Mus musculus: one gene and its partners. The protein of the gene in region 3 interacts with the protein of the main gene of each other region in a pairwise test. Links are inferred from orthologs where the notes say so. Each region holds a gene or a part of one and is shown on either strand. Other genes may lie near its edges.

Region 1 (3,500 bases), on a different chromosome or scaffold from region 3:
GCAGGCCCTGGCACTGACCACACCCTCCTGGGTGAGGCTAGTCCTGGGGCCTAGGACCCAGGGAGCAAAGCCAGGCACTTGTGTCTGCAATGAACACACTTAGCTTATGGTTCTGGAATGTCCTTTCTAGAAGGACTGTTCACTCCATGCTGGCAGACTGACTCAAGTCCACTCAAACCCTACAAACAAGTGACCCCAAGTGTCTGCCACAGCCTCCTATGATGTGTCACTCCTAAATGGCCAGGGGCACTGCCGAGAAGTCAACAGTCCACAAACAAACACAAGCAAGGAGCTATCCCTGCAAGGCTGCCAGCCAGACCAGCACCTTGACAACAGGGGCTCCCAGAAAGCCTCCAATGCTGCCTTATGTTAGGGAGAGACCCCCTTGCAGCAGCAGGTGTCCACTGAGCCCGGGCTCTGTTGGTAGGGTTCTGCCTGGTATAAACCCGAGTCAGAAGTCAGTGGTGGTGCACGCCTTTAATCCCAGCGCTTTGGAGGAAGAGGCAGGAGGATCTCGGGTTTGAGGCCAGCCTGGTCTACATAGTTCCAGGATAGCCAGGGCTAGGTACAAAGAAAGACCCTGTCTCAAACAGAAACTTTTAGTCAGGACACAGAGTATGGCAGGAAGGTTAAAGCCAGAGGCTCTGGGACCCAGGACCTGGAGGACAGGACGAGCACAGCTCTCTGTGGGTGCTCCTGAGCCGGGCACGCCCGCCTAGTGTAAGCCGGGTGACCACTCAGTGACCCTAGATGGGGTGCGAGGAGCAAAGCCAGAAACCTAAGTCAGCCGTTGAGCTTACCAAGATACCGGAGCACGGCCTCCAGGGGCTTCCGTACTACCTGCTTCAGCACCAGTGGGCTCTGGGAGGCTTCGGGCAGCCGTGCTGTGCCTGTACAAGGACAGGACAAGGTACGGTGAAGAACCATGTTCCCCAAGAACCTGTACCCCAACCTGGACACTCTGCCTGAGTGTGGCTCCTGCTAGGCCCAAGAAAGAGAACAGGGGAAGACTCACATTCAGCCTTGATTGCTGCGCTGTTGATGGGCATGTAGGGGTGGCGGGCAGCATGCCATGGGCGTAGGATCTCACGGCACAAGCGCCGGGCAATGCGTGTCAACTTGGTAGTATGCAGGTAGAAGGCCTGCCTTGTCTTCATGGCAAACTTGGGGCTCCCACTGCTCCGAGCTGGGATGCCATGGGGACTCTGTGGAATGGGGCACGGTGCCCCAATATAGCACTGTGACTGGAAGCCAAGGACCCGAGGCTGACATGCAGCAGGTGGCAGATCAGTATGGTGTGTCCCACTTACCATGTTATTGCGGTTTGGTCCCGGCCTCTCTCCATCTAACCGGGTTGGCATTTTCAAGCCACCATATTTCTTCCAATATGTCCAACAAGATGCGCAGAGGCGACACTGCATGTTAGGGGGACCCCAAGAATACCACTGGTAAGACTGTGTGGCTACGGACAACAAAGTTGGAAATAGACGGATTCTTAAGCAGGACCAACGGTGCAGAGAGCATCCCACAGTGTCCCCACCGCCACCACAGCCACCCCAACTCCTGGCTCAGGACCAAAGGAGGCCAACCTCATACTCCTGAGGAACTCTTCCAAACTACCCCATCCCACCCCCCGCCGCCACCACCACCACCACTGCAGCCCCACTATGGTGAGTCATTCCAGGTTTGGGCGCAGGAGCCTTCAGGGGCCACACAGTAGCATCCATTCCCGTGGCCCCTGCTGCCCAGGGTGGGTGCCAGCCGGGACAGCACTTACTGTAACAGCTCTCGCAGGCCCGACCGGCCCCGGGGCTCTGGCCTGGTGTCCCTGTGCCATTCACTACAGTGGCCTTGACACTGCTGGCGCTGATCTGGTTTGGGTTGGGCTTGTTACTGATGGAGGAGAGGGATCAGTCACAGGTGCCCTGGGGTGTCTGGATCCCCACAGACATCCCTGTTCCTCTGTCCACTGTGTTTCAGCTGCCATAGCCCAAAATGCTTAGCACTAAACCCAGATTAACTCCTGAGCCAAAAAAGCTTAAATCCTGATCCCTCCTCCCCAGTGGAGCAAGCTCATGAGAAGGGTGGCAGAGGTTCTTCAGCTCAACTCTGGAGGCTGCCAAACCTGGAGTCCTACACCCACCGCCCACCCTGACCCGCCCCAGGAACATGAAATAGGACTTACTAGTTGGGAATATAAACCTGCTTTAACTTGCTCTCAGCTTCAGCTGCTTTCAAGCGTTTCTTTAAACAAAACAGAGGGTGAGGGAGGTCACCAGGCTGGCCAGGGAAGCTGGGAGGCCACAGGGAGGGGTCACCATTTGTTTCTCCATCACTGGCATCCTTAGGGAAAACTTGCATGGCCCTCCCTGGCCAACCTAGGCCCAGGAAGTGGGGGTACCAGGCTGGCTAAGGGTGAGGAATGTCCCTTCCTCCCAGTCTGTGAGTCCTCTAGTGACCCCAGCTCCTTCCTCTTTGCTCTAGGGCTTAAGGGGAGGCCGCTGGGAAAGTATGAACAAATGTAATGTGGCTATGTGGGGATTGGAGAGGACGGATAGCGTGGTGCGAGAGTGGATGGTCTACCTGCTGGACGTATCTGTCGGTGGTCTTCCACATGTAGTAATACTCAATGATGCTGGTGAGCGACTTCCATGGGAGCTGCGGGGACAAGGCAACACGATGGGTGGCAGAACAGGGCTGCTGCCCACACAGGCGAAGGAGAAGAGTGGCAGAGGCAGTGCTGGGTATCACATCAGGTCTCCCACTAACGGCACCCCGCCCCCAGTGTTCATTAAACACAGCAAGACCATAGCAGGTATCTGGTTGACCTTGCTCTTCCCTGAAAATCCAAGCTAAAACAATTACCATTATGCCTGGAAGGAGATGACCATAACTTGGTTCTGTTCTTACCAAGAATCAGAGATGTATGGACAAGATCGGCTCAAGTCCCTCAACCAGGACTTCTCAGCTTCCAGAACCAGAGAGGGGTGAATTTGTTGGAATCACCCATTCTCAGGGGCTTGAATGAGAGGCCTCCCCACGGCCCACATTCTTAACTCCTTGGCTGGAACGCCAAACCTCCCGCTTCTCTGGGTTACTGAGCTCCAGGGCGACTTTTCCATGTTCTTTGTCCTTCCCGTTATGTGTTTCTTTCCAGTGTCAAGCACCTAAGGTTTCTCTCTTTCAGCACACAGCTACAAGCCCCTAACCCTGTGCCTCCTTCCAGTGCTCCCTGGGCCACCAGCTACATCACTCAAGTTTCGTCTTCTCCCCTGAGTTACTGTTTGGTCGGTCTGTTGGCAGTGGCAGGGATCAGAACCAGGGTGTCCTACATACAAGGGATGCGTTCTCCCACTGAGCTACACACCAAGGCTGGCAACTTCAGTCTTTAAAGGCTGTGTGCTGGTTAAATGTCACCTGCAAACATTGTCTCTTTAGATCTTTGAGCTTTATCTACGAACAATTTCCTGTGAGCAGACTCATGAAGTGTTGAGTGGCAT
Region 2 (3,960 bases), on a different chromosome or scaffold from region 3:
ACCACATGGTGGCTCACAACCATCCATAACGAGATCTGACTCCCCCTTCTGGAGTGTCTGAAGACAGCTACAATGTACTTCCATATAATAAATAAATAAATCTTTAAAAAAAAAAAAAAAAACAGTTGGCAGATAGAAAGTTACAGTTTTGAACCAGGCTCGGTGGCCTGAATTCCAGCCCTGGGGAAGCTAGAAGATCAGAAATTCAAGCCCTGGCCAGGTGTGGTGGGGTACACCTTGAATCCTAGCAGTCAGGAGGATGAGACAGGAAGACCTCAGTATGCTGCAGGTCCGTGGAGACTTCAAAAAAGGAGGGTTGGATGGGGAAGAATTAAAAGAGTTGTAATTTTATGGGCTGGGATTGTAGCTCAGTGGTAGATTGATTGGTGCACAGAAACAAAGCCCAGGGTGAGCCCTGAAACCACCAAAACAATGCAACCCCCACCCCCTGCCATCTCATGGAAAAGGATTTCTGGAGCAACTGGGTTGTTTTCATTCCTGTTCAGGATGCTAATTCCATTAGATAAATTTGCAGTCTTTTCAGAATTCTCTAGGAACTTCACTTTCCCTTAGCAATATTTAGGTTCTTTCTTTCTTTCTTTCTTTCTTTCTTTCTTTCTTTCTTTCTTTCTTTCTTTCTTTCTTTCTTTCTTTCTTTCTTTCTTCCTTCCTTCCTTCCTTCCTTCCTTCCCTTTTTTTTTTTTTTTTCTTTTTTCTAAGATAGAGTCTCACTATGTAGACTAGGCTGACCAGGAGCTCAGAGAGATCCACCTGCCTCTGCATCTCTAATGCTGGGATTAAAGGTGTGTGCTGCCACGCCCAGCAATAATTACAGTTTTAAATATCCCAGATCTACAGTTGCCAGGAGCAGGGGGTAGCAGCTCACACCTCTAAATCGCAGTATTCCGGAGGTTGAGACAGTACAATATACAAAGCGCATTTCTGGCCAGGCAAAGAAATGATAAACTCTGCCTCAAAAACAAAACAAAACAAAACAAACAAAAAAAAATTCGAGGAAACAAGCCTAATAATTAAACCACACAAAAGGGGATTTTATTAAAATCAGCCACAAAAGGAGATTTTAGCATCACAATTTTGTTGAGGGTGGGACCAGAAGGGGAGGGGAACGGAAGAGGGCCTCAAGACAACAGGAAGTAGGAGGAGATTTTGAAAAGCCGGCTGAGGTCAGAGGTCTTTTGGAAGCTGGGAGAACTTTCTTTCGGAGGATTCATCTATTCTCAAGATGGAGACTGCTGGAGACAAGAAGGTGAGAACTGTTTTTACAATTTGGCTTTCCAAATGAGGGCCCCTCATTTTTGAGTATAGCCAGCCATTGTTTGGAGAAGAGAAGAATGAGCGTTACAATTTGTTACAACCTTAATTGTTTTTTTAAAAAAAATTATTATTTAAAGGCAGGTGTGTGGCTTGGCGGGCCCGCTCGAAGTGGCCTTGCGCGAGACCCTGGGGCCCGGGTGTAGATGTGTTAGGAGAGGAGGGTGTGTTTTGGAAGGAATGCTTTGTTAGGAAGGAATTTAGAATCCCGTAGCTGGTCCCGGGATAAAACAGGGTATAAACTGAGGCTTTGGGTAGCCTCGGAAGGAGTCCCCAGTTAACCTGAGAGGACCCGAGGGCTTAACCCAAAAGTGCCTGCTACAGGGCTTCCAGGCCCCTTAATTTATCCATAGGCCCTCAGAATCTATGAATTTTGACATGGCAGACCTGCTGGTTCCTAACTGTAGTAGCCAGGATAGGATGCTGAGCACTTTCCTGGACTCCTCCCCAAGAAACCGCCAGCCATTTTCATCTTTCTTTATTGTAAGAATTTTGTTAAGTCCTAAAGTGAATCCTTTATAAAGAGGTTGTGCAAAAGTAAATCTTAGTCCTTGGGAAGCCGGTCCCTATTGTGATGGGAGAGAACTGAGGTGTCAAGTAACAGGAAATGCTAAATTGTCACTTCCACAATTGCGGGGGTGGAGGAGGGGGGGGGTGGAAAAGACCTAGGTTTTGGAGCTAAGTGACCTGGTGGTTTTACTTATTTATTTAGTGAGTTATTGTTTTGTTTCTCTGTAGTCCTGGGTACCCGGGACTCGCTCTGTAAACCAGGTTGGTTTGCCTCCCGGGTGCCACCCTCTCTTTTCTTTCTGAAACAAGGTTTCTCTGTAGCCCTGGCTGTCCTGTAACTCACTCTTGTAGACCAGGCTAGCCAGGAACTGAAGAGATTCGCCTTCCTCTGCCTCCCGAGTGCTGGGATAAAGGCATGTGCCATGACCACCTGGCTTTAATAAGCTTTTAACTTTTGGCCCTCCATGTTGAAAATACAGTAGTGGTTCTGAAGTTATATAAAGATTAAATGAGGCAAGGAGTGTGTTTAGTCGTGTATATGCTGGAAGAGGCTTAATATTTGTTAGGTTTTTTTTTTTTTTTTTTGGTGTGTGTGTGTGTGTGTGTTTCTTTCTGTGCTTAGGGATTTTTTTGTTGTCGTTGTTGTTGTTCCCTTAATTAAACTGAATATTTATTATCCATCCTCAGCAATAAAAGGGAGAGGGACCCCATTCTTATGGAGTTTAAAATCAGATGGAATTAATTGACACATGGAAATGAGGTAACATGTGGTAGATTTTTGAGATTCCAGCAAAATAACCCTTGAATTGAGACTCGGAGGACAGTGAGGTGTAAGAACTGAAGGAGGAGTGGGTGGGTCCTAACACATCACCAGGCTGTTTTAACAATTGGAAACTGTCCCTAGGCCATGTCTGAGAGGCTCTGAAGGGAAATCAAGCCACGGAAGTGACAGTGCCTTTGGTACATCACTCTGGCTACAAATTTCTTTGGGTGAGCCTAGAACCAAGGACTAGGGGAAACAGTTTTTGGGTGTGAGACTACAGAGTAAGGTTTTCTTTGTCCAAGAGTGGACCACTATCCGGTTGCTTTCATTATCTTCTGTTGCTCTGTTCATACCTATTTCATCCTTTAGTTTTATCCTGTAGCCTAAGCTTGGGTAGAGGAGGCACCAAGGATGTGACAGATCCGTCACATCCTTGGTGCCTCCTCTGCATTCACTGCACAGGTGCTAATACAGCTTCAGTTTGGATTTCTTCCTTCCTTAAGACAGTCCCATAGGGGGCGGGCCTGTGGACCAAATCCCAGCACTTACCCTGAGGCAGGCGGGCCTCTGAGTTCAAGGCCAGCCTGGTCTACAAATCTAATTCCAGGACTGCCAGGGAAGCTACTTAGAGAAAAACCCTAGCTCTAAAAAACAAAGACGAAGATAGTCTTACAAGTCTGGGCTGGCCTGGCCTTGGTCCTAGCCTAGGGTTACAGTTGTATGTCACCAAGCCTGTTTCTTTTTCTATTCTTTTTTTTTTTAAGATTTTTTTTTCATTTACATTTCAAATGCTACCCCAAAAGTCCCCTATACCCTGCCCCCACCCTGCTCCCCACTTCCTGGCCCTGGCAATCCCCTGAACTGGGGCATATGATCTTCGCAAGACCAAGGGCCTCTCCTCCCAATGATGGCTGACTAGGCCATCCTCTGCTACATATGCAGCTAGAGACACGAGCTCGGGTACTGGCTAGTTCATATTGTTGTTCCTCCTATAGGGTTGCAGTTCCCTTTAGCTCCTTGGGTACTTTCTCTAGCTCCTTCATTAGGGGCCCTGTGTTCCATCCAATAAATGATTATGAACATCCACTTCTGTATTTGCCAGACACTGGCATAGCCTCACAAAAGACAGATATATCAGGGTCCTGTCAGCAAAATCTTTCTGACATATGCAATAGTGTCTGAGTTTGGTGGTTGTATATAGGATGGATCCCCAGGTGGGGCAGTCTCTGGATGGTCCTTCCTTTGGTCTCAGCTCCAAACTTTGTAACTTCTTCCATGGGTATTTTGTTCCCCATTCTAAGGAGCGAAGCATCCACACTTTGGTCTTCATTCTTCTTGAGTTTCATGTGTTTTGC
Region 3 (4,128 bases):
TGTAGGCAGGTGGGATGGGTGGCCCTCCAAGTGGGAAAGAGTCTAGTGGCTGCCTATGAGTCCCTGACAGGACCTGCTGGGAATCAGCAGGGGAGGGACCTCCGGGAACTCCATCTGAGGGATGTGGGGCCACAGGCATTCAAACAGAAGGACAGCCACAGAACCCAGGCTGGCATCACAGCCTAAGGAGTTCAGGCACTGGAGGTCTCTTGCCTACTGCATAGGTCCTACCACATCAACTCCATTGCTAGCCTCCCTATGAGGTCCACAGATAGAGCTCAGATGTCTTTATCCTTAGGCAACTGCTAGGCCCTTCCTTCTTTTCAGCCCTTGGGTGACAGCACCAGCTGGCTGCTCCCTCTGGCTGGGCCTCTCCAGACTGTGGGGAGAACCTTTCTCACAGGCATGGCCCAAGCAATTCCTTACACTGTTGCTCATCTCTCTGTGGAATCTACTCGAGCCAGCTCCACACCCAGGATTCTCGGGCTGTACTGCACAGCCACAGGATTAGCACATCTGGGGCTTCTTGGAACAGAAACCGGGCAACAAACTACGTGTTCACAGACCTCCCTGCAAAGATCCAGGGCTTGCATGACTATGGGTTGCAGGCTCTGAACTACTTGTTTGAATGGGGTTTCACTACATACCCTTGGAACTAACACTGTATACCAGGCTGGCCCTCAACTTGTAACAAAACCAGGGCTTCCTGTGTGGTAGGCAAGTACTCTACCAACTAGCTACACACCCAGATCTGTTGTCATTTTGAGATATGAAAGTTCTTACTTTGAAGCCCAGAGCCCGGGTCCTATCCTATCCTCTGCATTCCGAAAGCTATTCAGGAGTTCGAGAAGGGGAGCCAGCTGCTCCAACACTGGTGGGGTCTGGCCTCTGAGCTGAGTGAGACAAGCACTGGATTGGATGCACAGGCAGAAGACAGCCTCCTCCAGCCACACTAGCATCAACCCTGGTGACCTCTAGGGTATCAGACATAGCAGCCAAGCTGGCTCCACAGGCTTCACTTGGAACTCACTTGGCTTTTGATCCTCCTGCCTCAGCGGCCAGAGGGCCTGGGGTTACAGGCCTGCCAGGCTTTCCAGCAGTGTCCCATGTAAAATGCATGTCAAGCTGAGGTCATGGCTCAGGGTAGAGCTGTTGCCAGTGTGGTTGAGGTCCTGGGCTCCAACCCCAGCAAACATCCATCAAACGAGAGAGAAAGAGAGAGCGCACTCGCGAGCACAATCGATCTAGCAACCTGGAGGAAAAGGCAGAAGAAAAGAAACTCAAAACAGACAGGAGAAAACTCAGTCACGAACTTCTGGCCACTGAGGTTTGGTGACAAACATCTGTAACTCAGCACCGGGAGGCAGAGGCGGGAGGATAATGACTATGAGGCCACTCTGGCCTGACTGAGACAGAGATGAGACAACAAGGGTTTTCTCAAGCAGAAACCTGACAGAGCTGAGGGAACAGGCTCACTTGAGCCCAGGAGTTCAAGGCAAATATAAAACCTTCAACACACAAAGGTATCCTGTCATCCCAGCGCCTGAGAGGCAGGAAGATGGAAAATTCTGGGCCAGCCTGGACTACGAGCAAAACTTGGCCTCAAAAAACCCCCCAAAAGTTCCAGAGGGACATTACACTATAGGATGTCTGAAAGGAGCGCCTGCCTGCCTGGGGTAGGGTTCTCAATGTTTATACAACGGAGGCCAGGATGCCCACCCTACAGAACTCCTGAATGTCAACACAACCAGAAAGGAGAATTTCAGTTCAGAGTCATGATCGGATCGATTAAACACTAAACCCAAACCACCAAGTACCTATAGGAATCTATAGTATGGTACAGCCAACAAAAACGTATCTTTCAAAGAAGCATACATATGTTTTAGAAATAGGGACACAAACCTGACACATTTTGTAAACTGCAGAAGCCTGGAAAATTACTTTTCACTGTCTCTTTTCAACTTGCCACAGTGTCTACCAAGAGATTTTTCTTTCATTTTTGAGACAGGGTCTCCTTATGTTACGTAACCCTGGCTGGCCTCAAACTCAGAGATCTGCTTACCTGACTGCCTCAAGTGTGCAGGGATTAATGATGTATAACACCCAGTGAGCGAGAATGTTTGTTTTTGGTTTTTTAGGTTTTTTTTTTTTCAATCCGTCTTACAGACACCGGAGAGGGAAAAGAAGAATGGGACACTGATTATTTTTTAAGCCCTGTGTGGACTTGGTTTTTTTGGATATCAACCTAGACAAACATTTTCTGTGGCCTGAGGCTATGTGGTGAGAGTCTCGGAAGCATAGCCTGGAGACTTTGGGGGGGGGGGGGCTTGCCTTCCATGCTGCGATCCCAGGAATCGAACTTACGTTGTAAAGCCTGGCGGCAAGCCCCTCTCAATGAAGCCCTTTCGCCGGCCCTCCAGAGCTTTCTGAAAGCCGCCTAGACGCGCACACCCGGTGTCCCTCTTCAAAGCACGGGGACCCGGTCTCCCCTTCCCCGCTAGCCCAAGGGAAGCCAGCTCGGCTCGTCTGCGGTCCCCAAAGGCAGGCCCGAGACCAGATCGCCTGGCCTCGCCTCACCTGGCTCGCCTTGTAGAACTGCTTCTTCAGCCCCGCCACCGACATGCCGCCTGCCGCCGTCAGGCCTCCCGCTCGAACTCCGGTTTCCGCCGGCGCCGCCGAACCGACTTCTTTCCTCCGCGCGCAGGTCGGCGCCGCCACCGCCAAATCAGCTTGCCAGCTCTGCGCCCCCGCCCCGAAGCCACCTCGGCCGGCTAGCGCGCACGCGCGGCCGGGATATTACATGGCAACCGCACACTTCCGGTGACGCCCCCATATCGCCTCACCCCACCCTACAACGGCATCTGCGCGCGCTCCGCCTCTCTGCGCGTGCGCGCCCCCTGGAGGACAGAAAGAGCATTGCCGGGGGAGGAACGGCGGAAACCCTCCCACACCAACGAGATGAGGGGGCGCCTAGAGAGGCCAGAAATCTGTGTACGTGCGCGTGTACGCATGATGCAGCTCCCTCTAGAGTCCAGGAGTAGATATAAAGCCAAAAGTCAGTTTTAATTAATTAATATTTTATTTGTGCGTGGAGAAAGCGGAGCGGAATTTGCCAGCGAGAGTGTAATAAAGACAAAGCGAGGTAAAATGGAATATCTTAGGGGCTAGAGGAACGGTTGGTTCTCCAGGTAAAAGTGCTTGCTGCCCTGGCTGACATCGGGAGTTCAGTTCCTCGCATCCACATCAGGCTGCTTGCTCATAGCTAGCTGTCTGTAACTCCAGCTCCGGGTCACAGCCCTTTCCTGGCCTCCTTCAACTGCTCTCAAGTACACCGGGTCACATATATACCCATAACTTAAAAATTAATATGAGGTATGCCAGTGGTGATGCATGTACGCCTTTAATCCCGGCAGAGGCCCAAATGCTAACACGCCACCAGCCTTCTCTCTGGGGTCCTTCCTTCAGTGTCTCCCTTCTAATAAATCGCTGAGGATACAACTAGAAAAGAGAGTCCTTTATTTCCTTCTTCATAACTTTATTTCAGAGCAGATATTGCATAACCCAGGCTAAGCCTCAAACTTACTGTATAACCAAGGATGACCTTGAACTCCTGTCCAAGCTCCTCCACGTCCCAAGTGCTAAATCACAGGTGTGCACCAATGAGCCCCACTAGAAACATATTTTCAAAATAGTTCGCTCAGACTGTAGCTATCTCCTATTTCGAGTTCCATTGGTTCATTCCTGTCATGTACCAGCTATAGGACATCATTGCTTTTTTGCGCATTAGCCCTGCAGTGAGCTTCCTCTCATCATTAAGACAGAAAGAGGACTCTAATTGAATGATATCTGTGATGGCTTGTATATGCTCAGACCAGGGAGTGGCACTATTAGAAGTTGTGCCCCTGCTGGAGTAGGTGTGTCACTGTGGGTGTGAGCTTTAAGACCCTCATCCTAGCTGCCTGGAAGCCAGTATTCTGCTAGCAGCCCTCAGATGAAGATGTAGAACTCTCAGCTCCACCTTCACCATGTCTGCCTGGATATTGCTATGTTCCCGCCTGGATGATAATGAACTGAATCTCTGAACCTGTAAGCCAGTCCCAATTAAACATTGTTTTTTTTTTTTTAGAT
Region 4 (4,058 bases), on a different chromosome or scaffold from region 3:
AATGCATTTGAATATTGCGTGCCAGAAATGGTTCTGAACACTTTGTGCAAGAGCCTCTATCTATTCAATAGTCTCTGGCATGCAGTAAGTATCCAAACATATTAGGGCCAGCCATGCTCTGAGCACTTTGCATGCATTATCTCACTTGAGCCTCACAAGAATTGAATCAGCCAGGCACTGCTGATATCGTGAATGGCAAACTGTAAGGCTAAATGTAAGGGGGAGAGCTGTCATCAAGAAAGGCTTGTCAGGACTTGGAGACAGAATGAGTCTGGAGGAGGGTACCTAGTGATAGCATCAGTGTCCCATGGGCCCCTGAGCTGGCTGATAGCCAGCTTGTACAGCTCCTTAGTTTCCAGAGAGTGTGAGGACACGTGCTGAGCAGATACCACCAGTAGGCAGAGGAGGACAGAGCATTCTAAGGCACCTCATCTGGCCACCCAGTTCAGTACAGTGGAGAGTAAGCTTCGGGCCGGGAGTCCTTGCCTGAGTGGATCTCAAGCACAATTCCCAAATGGCTGAGTCGTGTTTCCTGAGAGTGTAGGGTGTAACTCCTGGCTGTAAGGTTTTCCAACTCAAGGGTTTTCTGCGGTTGTGAAAGCCTAAGATAAACAATGTTTGGGTCCAGCATGCCAGGCTCCTAAATCGATTGGACAGGGTGTATAAAGTCACACCGTGTTTCTTGTTTATAAGACTTCTCTCTAACCTCCACAGTCTGAGGTCCTGTGTCATCCCTCCGCACCTCTCAGCCCTGTTTTCTCCCCACATCCCTAACGTTCCTCACCCGTGGAAAAGGCTGGTCCACCTTTCCACTCGGCTCAGCTTTCCTCCCTCCCACGTATGCTTAGGCTTCATTGGTGCTCTGTGCCATCCGGGCCCTGATCTGTTAGTCACAGGGGACTTCCACCTTTTTCCCCCTTTCATGTTTCTCTCCCTGGCTGCCCCTGTCCCTAGTGCCTTCAGCCTGCAGCATTCCAGTCTTTCTCTTCCTTGATCATGCTCGGTAAAGCCACACCTGGAGTCACAAATGCTTCAGAGTTTGATAATTTACTTAATGTCAACAAAAGAGAAGGAAAAAGTAAGCTGTAGAATGCAGGGGCAGAACTACAGCCAACTTGGCCTGCAGGACCCAGGTTCCCAAATGGGCCTTGCCTGCCTCCGCAGGCTCCACCTACAAGTCAAATGTGGAAGGGGCCGGACTATTGTAATTAATAAGTCCCACAGACCCCCACTGAGGTGGTAAGGCAAACTACCCCAGACTGTAGACAGCGCTCTAGATTAACCAAGGACTAGTGGCCTTGCTGTCACTGGACCAAGGCAGCCAAGCTTGCCTACTGGCCCTGGAGCGCCTCCAGCACCCGGGTGGGGCCTTGAGGGAGCGCCCAGTCAGTCACCCCAGCATGTGGGCGCGGCGGGGCGGGCCAGGGCTGCGATCTGGACGCTGAGTGTCCTTCTGGTCCCGAGTGTTTGTCCAGACAGCCCGCGCGGCTGGGTCTCTGGGAGGCTGGGTCTCTGCTTGTCCTCCCTTCTCTTCCCGGACAGTTGCTGTAGGCAATCTGGAGGTGGCAGGTGCTTGGGTCACCTTGCTCCGGGTACTGAGCAGGTAGGTGACCGGGTCGGGTAAAACGCTGGAGCATGGAGCCAGGCAGAAGGGTGAGCGAGGAGTGGGAACCAGCAGGTGAGTCTCTAGAGCGAAGGGTAAAGCACAGAGGACAGGGACAGGAGGAGACCCTGGTTCCCGCGGTCAGGCTGTTCACCTGTCCCTCTGGTCCCTCCTCCACCGCGCGCAGGGCGAGCTCGGGTGCCCAGAGGAACCGACCGCCACAGCTGTGGGTGTCCGATGTCTCGTGTAGGGTGTCCAGTATCGGCAGCCGGGGCCGGGCGAGTGGCGGCCCTAAGAATAGAGGGCTTGTGATCATTATACTAAGAGTCTCCAGTGGGAGGAGAATCGGAGGCAACTTGGAGTCTTTCAGGGAAGTCATGGTGCCCGGGCGGTGTGCATGCACGCGTGGTGAGTGCTTACACTGGCCGGGGCAGGTGCAGCTGCGGAAGCAACCTGCGAGGGTCGGGGCCACGAAGCAGGTGCTGGGTGCCTGCAACAGTACCCACAAATCAGCGGAGGTCCAATCACTGGGCAGTGCCATGTGGTCTCTCCTGGCCCGGAGGTGACCTTCCAGACAGAGTCCTGAAACCTGTTTCAGCCCACGCAGAACTCTATTAGAGAGCTCCCCGCGCGGGGACACCCTCCCGCGGGCGCCCTCACGTGGTACAGAGAGCAGCGGGCTCGTCCCCTCCCTATGGTTCTGGGTCAAGGCTCAATCTAAAATCAGCCTAGCAAGAACTTTCCTCAACAAAAGTAAACCATCCGCAGCCACTCCTGCCCTGGGGGGTTCATGGGCCCTAGGTGGAGTCACTCACTGTTTGCAGATTTTCTCAATAGTGTTTCTCTTCACTATGGCCCTAGAGAAGCAGGGATAACCAGCTACATCTTGCTCAGTTCCCTGACAAGCTTCTCTTGTTTGTGGAACGAAACAATGTATTTATAATTTTTAATTTAATAAATAAGTGGAAGAAATACTTAGGTGAAGATTGGGCACAAATGGACTTGTCTAGTTATATCTGTGAAATACTTCAATCTCGAGAGCATTTACAGAACTTCCAGCTGCTCTCACCACTTGCAATTTATTTTATTTTCAAAATCATCAAGTAAATTAATGAGAAAAAAAAAATCGAACAATCCGAAGCCTGTCCACAGAGCTAGCTGTTTAAAGAATAGATAGAACTTAATCTAAATTCTTAACTTTAGGGATATATGTACTATACATACCACGATAATTCTATGAAGATAGCTGTATTAGGCTCTATACTAATTAAAAACACAATTATGTAGAAAAATGGAAAGTGTGAAAGTCAGACCAGATCTACAGGTATCCTGGGAACCTAACTGAATTTTGTACTCTTTCAAATTTTTAGAGTGAGCAACAGGTATGGACTTGTTGCTTGTTATTTGTCTTTTTCAAAAAAAAAAATGCCACAGGAGAAGAAAAACAAGTTAGTTGAGCTGCACTTTGTGTTGAACCTCGAGTGATTACACTCAGTATGAGACAAAACCATCACCGTGCAGATCAACGTTAGCAGTGATTGTCCTGTAGAGTGAAAGAAGGAAAAACCCAGGCGGATTCACTTCCTCCTTTTTATTTCCTGTACTTGTCTCAGGAACTTCAACGTAGATTTTATCTCAGTATCCAAGAGCTACAAAGATCCCCAGATTAATTTTATGGATTAGGAAATATGGTCCAAAGACTTGAGGTGACCTCCCAAAGTCACAGCTCACTGGAGGCAGAGCTGGGAATCTAGGCTGGTGTCCTTTGAAGTATCCTGTAAGCCAATTGCTGCTATACTCAGAGGGAATCAGCAGTCCAATTTGGTGCCCATAGTCAAAAGCCATCACTTGTTAATTGGGTTTCTTTTGTATTCTCTGAGGCCACCAGGAGCCACTGTAGTTTCTTCAAGTGTAATTAAACTGTCCCTGGTGGTCAGGGTCTATAATAACAATTTTGTGAGAGAAAAAGGGCAGTCAGTATGGAAAGCTGAAAGCCTGCTTAGGCTAGGATGTGTTAAAAACTAGCCTGGACAATTGAGACTCCATCTCAAAATATAGAGTAAAAGGGGGACTGGAGGTATAGCTCAATAACAGTGAATTTGCCTAGCATGTGCAAGGGCCAGGCTTTAATCACCAGACCATAAAATAAAACATTCCAGATAACATTGATGCTTGAAGCCCATGTTACACAAGCTACCCAAAGCAAAGCCAAAGGAAAGAAAAGAGCTTGCACACCTCTTTACTGAGGTACTAGGAAAGGGACTATTAAGGAGACAAAGCACCTGGCAAGTGGAGAATAAATGGAAGACAAACTCCCTACTGGACCAATGTGGGTGTCAACCTTGTCTCCTTTCTGGATGGGGTATTTTCTTCTGTGTCTTCTCTAAGCTTATCTGTACTTGATAAGGGTAGGGCTTCTGCACTGCTGGGGTATCTCCACTTGTGCAGTTTTCTT
Region 5 (4,122 bases), on a different chromosome or scaffold from region 3:
CTCTTGCCAGGCGGAAGAAGGGAAAACAGAGGTGAAATCCAGAGCATGTGTGCTAAGTAAGTCCTGGAACTTTCCAGACTTTCCAGGATGTGGGGACATGTTGAGGCAGGAGAAAAGCTGACAGGTAGGGTCACAGTGGCTGGCTAAGGGTCTAAGTAGACATGTGAAACTTTAGCCTGGGCTTGGTACAAATTCCTTGGTACTGTGCTCAATCCCAGATCACTTAAGGACCTCTGCTGATTAAGGGGTGTCCCCCCCATCCTGTAGCCTGGGGTTGGGGAAGGCTGGGGCCGGGACCCCTTACAATACAGTAATCTTAACTACTGTAGCCACTCCCCTGGTCATGCATGGTACACTCTCCATTCCCCTCACAACTGAAAGGTGAACATTACTTCCCCATTTTACAGTAAGAGGAAACTGAGGGTCAGAGGCACAGTGTAACAGCTAAAGTCACTCTCTCTGAGCCTCTGTTTTCACCTCTGTAAGAATGATTCCCCCTCCTCTACTCCTGCTCCGTGGGTGGTGTTGAGAGGTGCTAGTGAGACCGTGAGCAGAGCACCAGTAATTGCCAGCACGTGAGATCAGGGAGACTGGGTATTTCTCAGTGGCTGACCCCAGGTCCAATCACTGAGCACAACCCTCTGACACTGCGCCATGGCCGGACCAGCCGGTCGTTAGGAAGGGTAACTGCAGGGATTACAGACTTCACAGGCAGAGGATTGCAGCCACCCCCACCACAAAGGGCAGCCCTTGTCCAAATTCCTCAGATAAGCGGCCCTGAGCAGAACAGGAGGCCCAGTGCACAGAACAGGCACCTCTATCCACAGATTCCAAAATCTGAATCAGACCACATAGCTTCTCTCCTTCCAACAGAATTCACCCAACAGGTCTTCCAACTGGCCAAATCTGGTTGACAAATGCCTCCGGCAAAGTCTCTGGCAACCAATTTACTTCCTCTTTCTGGGGCTCATTATCCCAATCCGTCTAACACACCTCTGAGCGCTCTGAATAGTGGGGCAGGTCCAGCTAACTAGGCCCACAAGACCTAAGAAGCAAGGGACAGGCTAGGAGGGGGAAGCATCTCGGGAGCTGGGCCAGGGGCCTATCTACTGCAACTTCCCTTTACAAAGCTGATGGAGAAACCTGTATTAGGTCCAGTGTGCCGAAGAGGGAACAGGAACCCAGAAAGAGCCTGAACTTGACTTCCTTTCCCCATTAGCTGGACTCTACGGACCTCTGCAGGCAGGTCAGGACTGTGTGACCGCCATGAGCTCAACCTGCAAAAGGTGGACTGGGACCTCATTCAGCAATAAACTGGGAAGCTGGACCTACTAGGACGATGACGGACACAAAATCAAACCCGATGGCTTTTTTCACAGGGGAAGGCAGTCTCCTGGCAAGGACATTTGCATTGCAAAGCAGTCCAGCTTTAGCCAGTGGAGGGCAGTCACTCAAGAGGGGGCTGGGCAACCCAAAATCCAGCCACCTCCCGCAATCAAATCCAGGGAGTGCCTGGAACTGGGCTTTCCCAGCCAAGGGGAGAGAGCCAGAGAGCCCTGGCTGGCCCAATCTCTCAATCGTATGACAGCCACAGGAGCCAGCTTGGTGGCAAGGTGGCCTGAGACACCCTTACTTAATCCCTTAAAGTGAAAATCTCAGTCAGCTCTCTCCATACAAATCTGTAAAACGGGTGACTTGAAGAGTGCACGCAGGGCCCTAAAAGGTTTCTGGCTGGTCACCTGCAGACAAATGCCAGGCGCTCTGCCAGCTCACTCAGACCTAAGTCCTGCTTAGAGCAAATCTTTCCCCAGGCGGGCCCCTTGCCCATCCGTCCCTAGCTGAGTCTTCCACATTTGCCAAGTGGCTAGATCTCACTCATCAGCACTCCCCACCCTCCCCTGCAAACGCGAAAACCTCAATGCCTACCTGGACGACAAGCTGACAAAATCCCCGCCATCCAGCAGCCGGACCTTGCAAAAGAGGACCCCGTTCACGAAGGGGACCGCAGTCAGCTCCTCCAAGGTGAAAGTGGTTTGAAATTTAAATTTCTTCTTCTTCATCAAAAAAGCCATGAGCAAGTTCCCTGAGTCTGAAGCCCGCAGGGCCAAAAAGAAAAAGAAAAGAAAAAAGAAAAAAAGAAGGGGATACTAGAAAACCCCAGGATTCCTTTCCCGACACCACACCCCCCTCCTCAAAAACACCAGAGCTGGATCCAGTCCAGATGGCGGCGGAGGCTGCGGGCAGGAGAGGATCTGAGTTCGGAGCCCCAGGTCCAGTGAGCCGGCTGCTCTCACCCTCGGGGAACCCGGGCTCCACTGACATGTAAACAGCGAGGTGCGGCCCCGGCAGCGGGGGCTGGCGTGGAGGGCGGCTCGCAAGCGAGCAGCAGCATCCCGATCCGCGGGGCCCGGCGGACCGGTGAGACTGACGGAGACGGCCGGGCGAACCGCTGGAGACCCGGGCGGCGGCCCCGCCTCCGCCCCGCTGGCTGCCGTGGGAGGTGCCCAGGCGACGCACACGCCTCCGCACCTGGCGCACCGCGGCCTGCGCAGGTGAGGCCCCGGGAAGCGGAAGCCACCTCGGCGACCGACCCGGCTCTGCAGGGACCGCTTCGGGAGGCTCTGCCGGGCCGGGAACGTGTGCCGGTCCGCCTCCCGCTCAGTCCTGGGACCTACGCCGCTCCTGCCCTGCCCGAGTCTCAGGCGCCTTCCGACCCGGCCGGATGGCTTCTGCCTCGGTTAGCACCGCTGGAGCACAGCGGCGCCGTCGCCCGCACCTCCGGACGCAGCCGGCTGAGCCCGACGCAGCTCGGCGCTGCTCGGAGAATGCCGAAGCCCCGGCGCGACCGCCCGCGGAGCCGCGGCCGAGAGCAGCAGGGGCGGGGCGCGCGAGGCTCACAGCCAACCTGCGATTGGACAGGCCGACTGTACGAACACGAATTTCTATTGGCTGGCGGTGGCGTGGGGCGGGGCTCGCGGAGGCAGGGCCAGTTGAGGGCGCTCGGATTGGAGCGCTCGCGGGGCTGGACCCGCCTCCTTGAGAAGCGCGGTGGGGGGGGGTGCGGAGAGGCGGTGGGAGGTCGCGGGGTGTGGGGGCCGGCACTGGAAAGAACGGGAGGAGAGCGCGAGCCCAAGAAAAGGAGAAACAATGACTAGGGGAAACAATCTGGAAACTAGGGCTAGAACGGCCTGCCCGGATCCCGCCAAGACCTGAGCTCAGTGAGCAATGAAGCAGGCTGAGGAGGTAGCACCCCTGTTCTCAGGAAAACAATCGCAGAGGTGTCTCAAGACCTATGCAGGTCTTGCTCGCCTCTAAAAATGACAAGCATCTGTCCTGGCTTTGCCGCTCTTGAAGATCCATTGGAGCCCGGCAACCTTGTGACTCGGCCTGCCTGGTTCCAGGCTGTTATCTAAGGCTTTTGTTTAAAGTTTCCCGATAGTTATGGCAAAGGACACCTTGGGGACCTCGTACTCTCCAAACTATCGGCATTTTATGATTCTTTTTATCCAGGCCGCCAGTGTTTAGGAACTCTGTCCTGAGTCAGGCAGGCACCCAGTGGAAAGACTGGATCTGAGAGTCTGCTGAAGAACTCAAGTAGGGAGGTCAGAGGAGGCGTGTGCTTTCGGATTGGAACGGAAGTTCAAAGGATTCTGACACAAAGCCGGCCAAGCATCGGGGTACAGGCAGTGGCAGTCACTAGAGGCCTGCTGGCCCGGCAGCATGGTACTCAAAAAGTTTGTGGAGTATCCCTGGATGAATTCTAATTTGAGAGAACAGCAGATCAGGCTAGAATCTGGCCCAGTCTTGTAGACCAGAGCAAAGAAGGAGGCATCTCCTGGTTTTTTGAGCTAGATAGTGACTTGATTGTTCTGGCATCAGATAACTTGGAGGAAAGAAAATGGGGAAATGGGTGAGTGAAAGGCCGTTTTTGATCCGGGCAGGAGATAAGTTAAGGTCTGCTGGACTTCCCTGTGGAAAATTAAAGAGAGTTGGGCTGATTGGCATTTGAGATGTAAATTCTCTGCCGGACATCATGTTTGATACCATGCATGATATCATGTTTGGACATGTGCATGAAGACTTCCTGAGCTTACATTTCAGAAGCATGGGTGGCAATCTCTG
Region 6 (3,500 bases), on a different chromosome or scaffold from region 3:
GCTTACTCACTCCAGCTACCTGACATGGCTTCAGGAATATGTTTTCTTACCTTGCCATAGAGGCCCCGGTAGGGGCCAGAAAGGACAACCACAGCTCTTCCATGCATCAGCCCTTGAGGTTGGCCTTCCTTATCATTCTCTCGATCCCCATCTGGTCTTGGTGGGTGGTGAGAGCCTACGGAGGCCAAGTCCTGAGCCTCCATCCGGTTGGCACCTAGCCCTAAGCCCTTCGGCCTTATAGAGTTGACTCGGGGCTTCACTACCCTGCAGAGAAAAATAGGCTTGTAGGAGTACAAAAGGCAAGCCTTCCAATATCCAACCCACCTCAGCAATCCTTGTTTTAATTGTTAATTTACTTGTGTATGCTTGTACACCACAACACACATGTAAAAATCAGACGACTGCTTGGGGGTGGGAGGGGCTGTTCTCTTTCAGCCACGTGAGTTCTGAGTTCATCAGGATTACAGACAAGGGCCTTTACCTGCCCAGCCATCTCACCAGCTCACATCTGTATTTAATTACCCTTTCTGATACCATATAAGGACTCTGTGAGTTATAAAAATGCCAACTTTTCTTTTTTTGTGGTGTTAGGGGTCAAATCCAGGGCTTCAATGCATAAGCCATTCTACCATTGAGCCTCACTTTTAGTGCCCCCATAGCAATTTCATGTAGTGTAACTAAATTAACTTGTCCCATATACTCTTATTACTCCTATCTACAAGTGCCAAGTTAGGTTTGTATAAACAAATATACTAACTAATATATTTACAGAAGAAATCATAATATGTACACAGAGCAAGGGGAACAGTAAAGAATGTTCACTATCAATCACAGTCATATCTGGCTTACCAAATGACTTAAATTCTTTGGGATTTACAACTGCAAAGGGATTTTGCTTTCAGTTCTACAGATGGAAGACCTTTTACATGGTAGGTAAGCTACACACCAGCCCAACAAAAGGACTATAAGTCTATAAAATAAGAGAAAAGATGCTTAGTTTGGGGGCTGGAGAGATGGCTCAGTGGGTAAGAGCACTGACTGCTCTTCCAAAGGTCCTGAGTTCAAATCCCAGCAACCACATGGTGGCTCCCAACCATCTGTAATGAGATCTGATGCCCTCTTCTAGGGTGTTTGAAGACAGCTACAGTGTATTTACATATACTAAATAAATAAATGTAAAAAAATGTTTAGTTTCTGCTAGTTTATTAGGGACTAAATCCTACTCTTGCAACAAACCTGTGAAGTTAGTACCGCCTGCATTTTTCAGATGAGGAAATTGATCCACAAAGAGGACCTTAGTGTTCTTTTGGAATAACAACGCTGTGGAAACCACAGTTTGAAACAGTAGTGGGTAACTAGTGATAATGTCCTCCCTCAGCACCTAGATAGTTCTAGATTAAATGTAACTACAGGGGTCTTATTTATACCCATTGTCCCCCCCATTCCCCCCACCAAACTCACTGACTGAAGGTATTGCCGATGCCCTTGCCAGGTTTCCATCCCATGCCCCGCAACATGGCCAGCCCATAGGCCTCCACAGGGACTGCCTCATAGTCGGCTTCCTCCGGCACCTATTGGTCAGGCAGGAGAAGAGAGTCAGGTTTTGCTTGGGATGGGCCCTCTGCCATGCACTTGCTGCCTGCCACTCACGGGCTGACTTTCTCTAGCCCTGGCCCCTGAACAGATAGCTTGAAGGACAGTTTTCATTTCTTATCACTCCTCACTCTGCTCCTCCACCCCCGAGTCTTTCAGTAACAACAAAACGTTTTTTAGGATTATTTTATGCTATGTGTCTGAATGGTTTGCTTACATATATGTATGCCCATGATGTGTGTTGTGCTTGGTTTCAGTGGAGGTCAGAAGTGAGCATTTGATGCCCTGGAACTGGAGGTATGGAGCAAGTGTTCTTAACTCTGAGCTATTGCTCTACTGCCCCTTCTTCCCAGTCTGTCTGCTTGAGACAGGCTCTCACTATGCAGCTCTGGCTGTCCTGGAACTCTCTCTGTTGACCAGACCAGGCAGGCTTTAAACTCAGAGATCAGCCTGCCCCTGTCTCCTAAGTGCTGGGATGTAATACATGGACCACCATACCCAGCTTCAACAAATATCCACATGCTTTCAAAAGATTTACAGGACCTTTTATTTAGGTGCTGAGGATAAGGAACTAATAAAATGGAAAAAGTCTGTTGGGCCTTATGATCTAGTTGTCAAGACATACAACAAATCGAGTTCTGAAAACACGATACATCAAGTGGTGACACATTTAAAAATAAAGTGGCACTGTCCAGTAGGCCCTGCTATGTATGAGGTAAGGGAGGAATCTAGCTTAAACCCAAGAATTTGAAACCAGCTTGGGCAACATGCTGGGACTCCCCCCACCCCCAATCTCAAAACCAAACCCAAACTCAAAAAATACCTGGCTAAGGGAATTCAAAGGGAGATGGGAGCCACGACCTGACATTTAATCAGATAAATGATAAAAGATAGCAGAACAGATGAGGATGTGAGAAGACTGCTCCAAACAGACTCGGTTGTAAAAATAAAGGGCATACTTGGGAGGTGGGAGCAGCTTATCTCTGTGAGCTCAAGGCCAGCCTGAGCTACACAGTGAAGCCCTGTCTCAAAATACAAAACAAGCAAAAAAAAGAGCCTGCAGTAAGGTTAGACTTTGTATGTATGGTTAAGAACCATGGAAATCAACAGGAAAGGTGGAAGCAGAGATGGTAAGGAATTAATGAGGAGAACTGGAAACGTCATGGGACCAAGAGTCACATGGGAGCCCCAAGAAAGACCCATGAGAAACTTAGTCCAGATGCTGCCTCTGCCCAGGATGCTAGTAATGTGGATGACTAAGAAGCTATTGGCTTCTGGATCTACTGAAGTGGAGATGATGAGGTTGGGCTGATAGGCTACGTGTAGAATATGAAATAAAAAGGGAAGTCAAGGATTGGCTCCAAGGATTTTAAGCTGAGAGGACGGATGGCTAGAATTGTGGTCATCTGAGATGTAGATGGTATGGAGGCTTGGAGATGGGGAAATTAGAGAGATGAGGTCAAGGCCAGAACAGGATAGAATGAAGTATGGGCAAGAAGCACAGCTCATTCCAGGACAACCAGGGCTATACAGAGAAACCCTGTCTCGAAAAACCAAAAAAAAAAGTATAGCTCAATAACAGGCATTTTAGCACAGGGAAGGTCCTGAATTCCAATCAAAGCATGAAAAGTAAAAAGAAAAAAAAAGTTTTGTTTTCTTAAGGAAGGCAAAGTGGGACGTAGTTTGCACACCTTTAGTTCCAGCACTTGGGAGGCAGAGGCAGGCAGATCTCTGAGTTTGAGGCCAGCCTAATCTACATAGACATTCAGAACAGTCAGGAATACAGCAAGACCCTGTTTCCAAAAAAGTAGGGCAGACCAAAGCCTGATTATAGTTGTAAGCATGAAGTTCAAGGTCATTTTTATCAACAGAGTGAATTCAAGGCCAGCTTAGACAACATGAGACTG
Region 7 (3,929 bases), on a different chromosome or scaffold from region 3:
AAGTAAAAGTAGAGAATCCACTCCTGAAGTTGTCCTCTTACTTCCATAAAGTATTATGGAAGTGATCATGCCCCCCCTTGCTTCAATAAGCAAAATATGAAAAAGAAACAGTGGGCAGTCTCTGAGGAATGACACCCAAAGTTGTCCTTTGGCCTCCATATGCACTTGCACACGCAAGCATGAGCCCACACACATGCACCCACATCAACTGAACATGCATGTGTGCGTATGTGCATGCACACACACACACACACACACACACACACACACACACACGGTGCAAATTCAAAGAGACACTTCTATCTTTATAAGCGTCTGAGCACATGTCAGGGTTAGGTAAGTTTCCAGAGGAGCAGAAGTTTAAGAAAGCAGGAAGCAAGCTACGTTTTTGGAAATGTGTGAGATACTTCCTCACATTTCCAGGATCTAATCATCCTATCTGTTCTAACAAACATACATATTCACATTTGTGAGGAAATTCTCTTTTCTACACAGCCTGGTTCAAAGACTCTATCAGTGGGTTGCAGCTATACTATGTATTAGAATCCCCAGGGACCTTTAAAAAAAATTAGCTGACTCTGGGTGCTCCCCTAGAGACTCTCATTTAATTAGGCTGGGCTGGCATCAGGACTTGTAAGAGCTGCCAAGTTATTAAGTACAGCAAGAATTGAGAACTAACTACTATGGTAGATAGGAAAAGGAGATATGAAGTTGGGAGGGGCTCAATAAGTCACCTCTTTGCTTTGTTAACCTTTAGTACTAGTGTCCCATGAAGTGTGGCACATCCACAGGTGGATCCTGAGTATCACTTGATTTAGTAAGACTTCCGTGCACCACACACACACACACACACACACACACACACACACACATACATACATACATACATATGAAAGACTTCTGTGTGTATGTTTTACCTATATATTTGAATAACTATGAGGAACCAACCTATCAAATTGGAGATTAACTGTACATTACTCCTGAGGATTGAGCCTAACTTCTACCAAAGTTTAAGCTGTGCCTCTATGTCTCCAGATCCTCTGTAAATTTCAGGATAAGTAGGACGTAACTAAAGCCGTGGGAAGAACTCGTGAAAGAGGAAGCAAGCACGTGGAACTTGAGGAACACGGCAGGAAAGGAGCCCAGAATCTGGGAACTCTTTCTCTGCAACGCTTCCTGTTTTAAAAGCTGTGTCCCCTCCACAGTCAGGAGTCTGGTCCAACGCCATCTCCTCCCTGTTCCTCTCACATGGATGCCTGCCACCCACCTTAGTCATTCCTACGATGCTGAATTGGGCTCAAATCCGAACCCATGCCAGGGTCTTCTAGTGTCACACTCACTATCTGATCTCAGGTGCCACTGCCTGTGACTCATTCACTTGGGTCTCTTCTTTCAGATTCAAATCTGAGCTAAACCCAAGGTGGCTTGGCTACCTAAGCATAATGGGGCAGAAAACCAATGCCCACAAGGTTTTCAGCTCAGCAGCACAAAAGGGAACCCCGAGTGACCTAGATCCAGGTTATGCAAACTCGCAGGAGTGGATGAGGGTTGACATGAAAACCCTAAACAGAGCAAACAGAACCAGCCGACAGGAATGACACCGCTTTGCTGACATGTCTTTCTATTTGACATTCTCCCAGCATGACGCAACCCCAGTTGCCCAATTTCTATTTGCACATTTCCCCCTTGTCCACAAGGAGCTTCAAAAACTCCCAACTCCACAGCATTCCTTTCGCTAAGTTCAAGTGTCTAGTTCAACAAGGTGGCAGGGCAGGCTTGTGGCATCAACTTGACTTTGGGCGGAGCAAAGTGTTCTGAGGTGGTTTGGAATTCTCAGGTAAACTTAGAAAAGGACAGGAGGTGCAAAGGCAAGAGCTGAGGCTGACTGCCCCACTTCCACTTTGCCCCTCCATTTTCACACCCACTTGATTACACACTGCCTGCTGCACCTACAACCTCACCTTTCTCCCTGCCCTGTTCTTTCTCAATCCAAAGGGCACTGGCTATGGCAAGGGTGAGTCTGGTGAAAACCATACCCAGGCTTCAGCCTCCTCTTCCTTTCCCTGGCGCCTCCCGTCCAGGCTTTCCACATCCTAACAGCTTCCTGGCCACCCAGTCATCAGTTCACCTTTGCACCACCCAACAAAATGGCAGGTTGGCAACGGGAAAGGCCGAGAACGCTGGTTCCTCCTCTAGTCAAACGCAGCTCCTATCCAAAGCCCAGAGTCCCCGAGATCCAACAGGAGAGGGCTCCTGCCCAAGTCCCTAATCATGGGCCCCTAGCCTGATCGGTCTCTAGGGCACATTTCCATTCCAGGCCGGCGAGCAGGTGTCCGCGTAACAGGTGCCAGGCAAGAGGCCCGGGTCCTAAGTGGAGAGGACCCCGAGACTGACTCCAGTAAAAGGCCACTTCTAGAGGATGAAGGCTGAGGGAGGGGTATTCAGAGGGACCAACCCCGGGCTGGGGGCAAGGATGCTGCCTGTCCATGCTCCCGGGACTCGATCTTCACCTAAGCTGCCCCACTTACAATCTCCAGACAGACGAAAGCTCCGGAGTACGTCCTTAGGATGTCGGGGCCAGCGGGCAGGGTGACCCGGGGCGCCGGGAAGGACACGGCAGGGTTCGGGGGCGGCGGGACTGCTCCGCCGGCCGACATGCTGCCGCTGCTACGTCTCCGCGCACCGCCACCGCCGCCACCGCCTCCCGCGTCCCGCCGCCGCCTCCCGGGCTTGGCCGCCGCCGCCGCCGCCGCCGCCGATCCGATCCGTGGGGTTCAGGCGTGCTGCTCGCGGAAAGGGTGTGGCCACGGGCCCTCTGCCGACAGAGGCCCGCCCCGTCACGTGGGCACAGGTGAGCGCGCCTCCGCCCTAGCGACAGTCAGGGTCACCAGCACAGGTGTGGTGCGCCCCAGCCTCAGCGCCAGCTCTGCAGCCCTCCTGGATCTTCAGATCACTTGCTGCTCCTGCACTAACTGTCTGCTGGTTCCCACCTGCCCATCCCACTCAAGTCTCCCCGCTGGTCCTCACCCACTTTCCCCAGTTGGGTAGGAAGACAGAGGCTGTGACTCAGAAGGAAAACACCAAGTTGCCAGGCACACCTGGAAAATGGGATGCCTGTTTTAAAGGCGATTCTAGGGGGATTTTCAGGGTCATGTAGCACATTGGAGTCGTTGGCAGTGGGACCCTGGAGGAAGGCCTTGAGTCATTTCTGTTCTGGTCTCAGAAATCCGTACGAGGATGTCCACCAATGATGGGCAGAAGAGTTAGGTGTACAGGAAGCGATGTAGCTTATAGGATGGTAGCTATTTTTTCCAGTTTTGACGTCAATAATCATACACAAAATGTTAGCTTCATTACGTTTCCACACAGACACTTTTTATTCCATTTTCAGAAAGGTATTCTTTGCTACTGCTTTTAAAGACTTAACAATTATTAAAACAGAACAGGACACTACTACATATGAATCCCAAGCCCCAGTTTCCCCCCCTTGCATTCCCATTTTATTGGTTTTGCTGTCAATGTTCTGAAAGTGGAATGAACAAAGGGACATTTCTCAGAGATCATCTAAAGATAAGTTCCACAGATCAGCACATATGTAGACCACGTTGGTAAAACCTGACCCAGGCATGGGGATACACGCCCGGAATCATAGTACTTCACAGAGTGTGGATTGCCCTGAGTTTGAAGTCAGCATAGACTGCAAAGCTGGTAATAGAATAGCTTGGGATACCTAGAAAGAACCTGTCAAGCAACAAGAACAGCAATCAAGTATGTGGATATGTAAATGTGTGTCTACTATACACATATGCATGCGTGCACACATGTACACGGACACACAAACCTATTCGAGTATCGGACATTCTACAAATTGAGTCTTGTTCTGATCTATTAAGTTTAGCTCTTGAACTGTGAGTTGTTCCCTGCATGGG

The links.
Region 1: the proteins of Sh3gl1 (region 3) and Mta1 interact in binary tests that used the Homo sapiens proteins (3 or more experiments, as listed by UniProt). The two-hybrid records come from large-scale screens. The link is inferred for Mus musculus from reciprocal best matches to the Homo sapiens genes SH3GL1 and MTA1.
Region 2: the proteins of Sh3gl1 (region 3) and Dppa4 interact in binary tests that used the Homo sapiens proteins (3 or more experiments, as listed by UniProt). The link is inferred for Mus musculus from reciprocal best matches to the Homo sapiens genes SH3GL1 and DPPA4.
Region 4: the proteins of Sh3gl1 (region 3) and Sh2d4a interact in binary tests that used the Homo sapiens proteins (3 or more experiments, as listed by UniProt). The two-hybrid records come from large-scale screens. The link is inferred for Mus musculus from reciprocal best matches to the Homo sapiens genes SH3GL1 and SH2D4A.
Region 5: the proteins of Sh3gl1 (region 3) and Fam102a interact in binary tests that used the Homo sapiens proteins (3 or more experiments, as listed by UniProt). The two-hybrid records come from large-scale screens. The link is inferred for Mus musculus from reciprocal best matches to the Homo sapiens genes SH3GL1 and EEIG1.
Region 6: the proteins of Sh3gl1 (region 3) and Gpkow interact in binary tests that used the Homo sapiens proteins (3 or more experiments, as listed by UniProt). The two-hybrid records come from large-scale screens. The link is inferred for Mus musculus from reciprocal best matches to the Homo sapiens genes SH3GL1 and GPKOW.
Region 7: the proteins of Sh3gl1 (region 3) and Mal2 interact in binary tests that used the Homo sapiens proteins (3 or more experiments, as listed by UniProt). The two-hybrid records come from large-scale screens. The link is inferred for Mus musculus from reciprocal best matches to the Homo sapiens genes SH3GL1 and MAL2.

The regions. Positions count from the first base shown.
Region 1 is NC_000078.6:113,129,278-113,132,777, reverse strand, and holds part of Mta1 (metastasis-associated protein MTA1), read right to left. Parts: intron 2,659-3,500; coding exon 2,584-2,658; intron 2,245-2,583; coding exon 2,186-2,244; intron 1,894-2,185; coding exon 1,778-1,893; intron 1,463-1,777; coding exon 1,311-1,462; intron 1,206-1,310; coding exon 1,016-1,205; intron 891-1,015; coding exon 801-890; intron 1-800. UniProt on the Homo sapiens protein: Transcriptional coregulator which can act as both a transcriptional corepressor and coactivator. Acts as a component of the histone deacetylase NuRD complex which participates in the remodeling of chromatin.
Region 2 is NC_000082.6:48,282,575-48,286,534, forward strand, and holds the start of Dppa4 (developmental pluripotency-associated protein 4), read left to right. Parts: upstream 1-1,160; 5' UTR 1,161-1,243; coding exon 1,244-1,267; intron 1,268-3,960. UniProt on the Homo sapiens protein: May be involved in the maintenance of active epigenetic status of target genes. May inhibit differentiation of embryonic cells into a primitive ectoderm lineage.
Region 3 is NC_000083.6:56,033,838-56,037,965, forward strand, and holds the start of Sh3gl1 (endophilin-A2), read right to left. Parts: upstream 2,801-4,128; 5' UTR 2,623-2,800; coding exon 2,578-2,622; intron 1,253-2,577; exon of another isoform or gene 1,031-1,252; intron 1-1,030. UniProt on the Homo sapiens protein: Implicated in endocytosis. May recruit other proteins to membranes with high curvature.
Region 4 is NC_000074.6:68,275,270-68,279,327, forward strand, and holds the start of Sh2d4a (SH2 domain-containing protein 4A), read left to right. Parts: upstream 1-1,258; 5' UTR 1,259-1,603; intron 1,604-1,616; exon of another isoform or gene 1,617-1,678; intron 1,679-4,058. UniProt on the Homo sapiens protein: Inhibits estrogen-induced cell proliferation by competing with PLCG for binding to ESR1, blocking the effect of estrogen on PLCG and repressing estrogen-induced proliferation. May play a role in T-cell development and function.
Region 5 is NC_000068.7:32,534,037-32,538,158, reverse strand, and holds the start of Fam102a (protein FAM102A), read right to left. Parts: upstream 2,801-4,122; 5' UTR 2,073-2,800; coding exon 1,927-2,072; intron 1-1,926. UniProt on the Homo sapiens protein: Key component of TNFSF11/RANKL- and TNF-induced osteoclastogenesis pathways, thereby mediates bone resorption in pathological bone loss conditions.
Region 6 is NC_000086.7:7,700,134-7,703,633, reverse strand, and holds part of Gpkow (G-patch domain and KOW motifs-containing protein), read right to left. Parts: intron 1,572-3,500; coding exon 1,462-1,571; intron 265-1,461; coding exon 51-264; intron 1-50. UniProt on the Homo sapiens protein: RNA-binding protein involved in pre-mRNA splicing. As a component of the minor spliceosome, involved in the splicing of U12-type introns in pre-mRNAs.
Region 7 is NC_000081.6:54,570,237-54,574,165, reverse strand, and holds the start of Mal2 (protein MAL2), read right to left. Parts: upstream 2,801-3,929; 5' UTR 2,658-2,800; coding exon 2,529-2,657; intron 1-2,528. UniProt on the Homo sapiens protein: Member of the machinery of polarized transport. Required for the indirect transcytotic route at the step of the egress of the transcytosing cargo from perinuclear endosomes in order for it to travel to the apical surface via a raft-dependent pathway.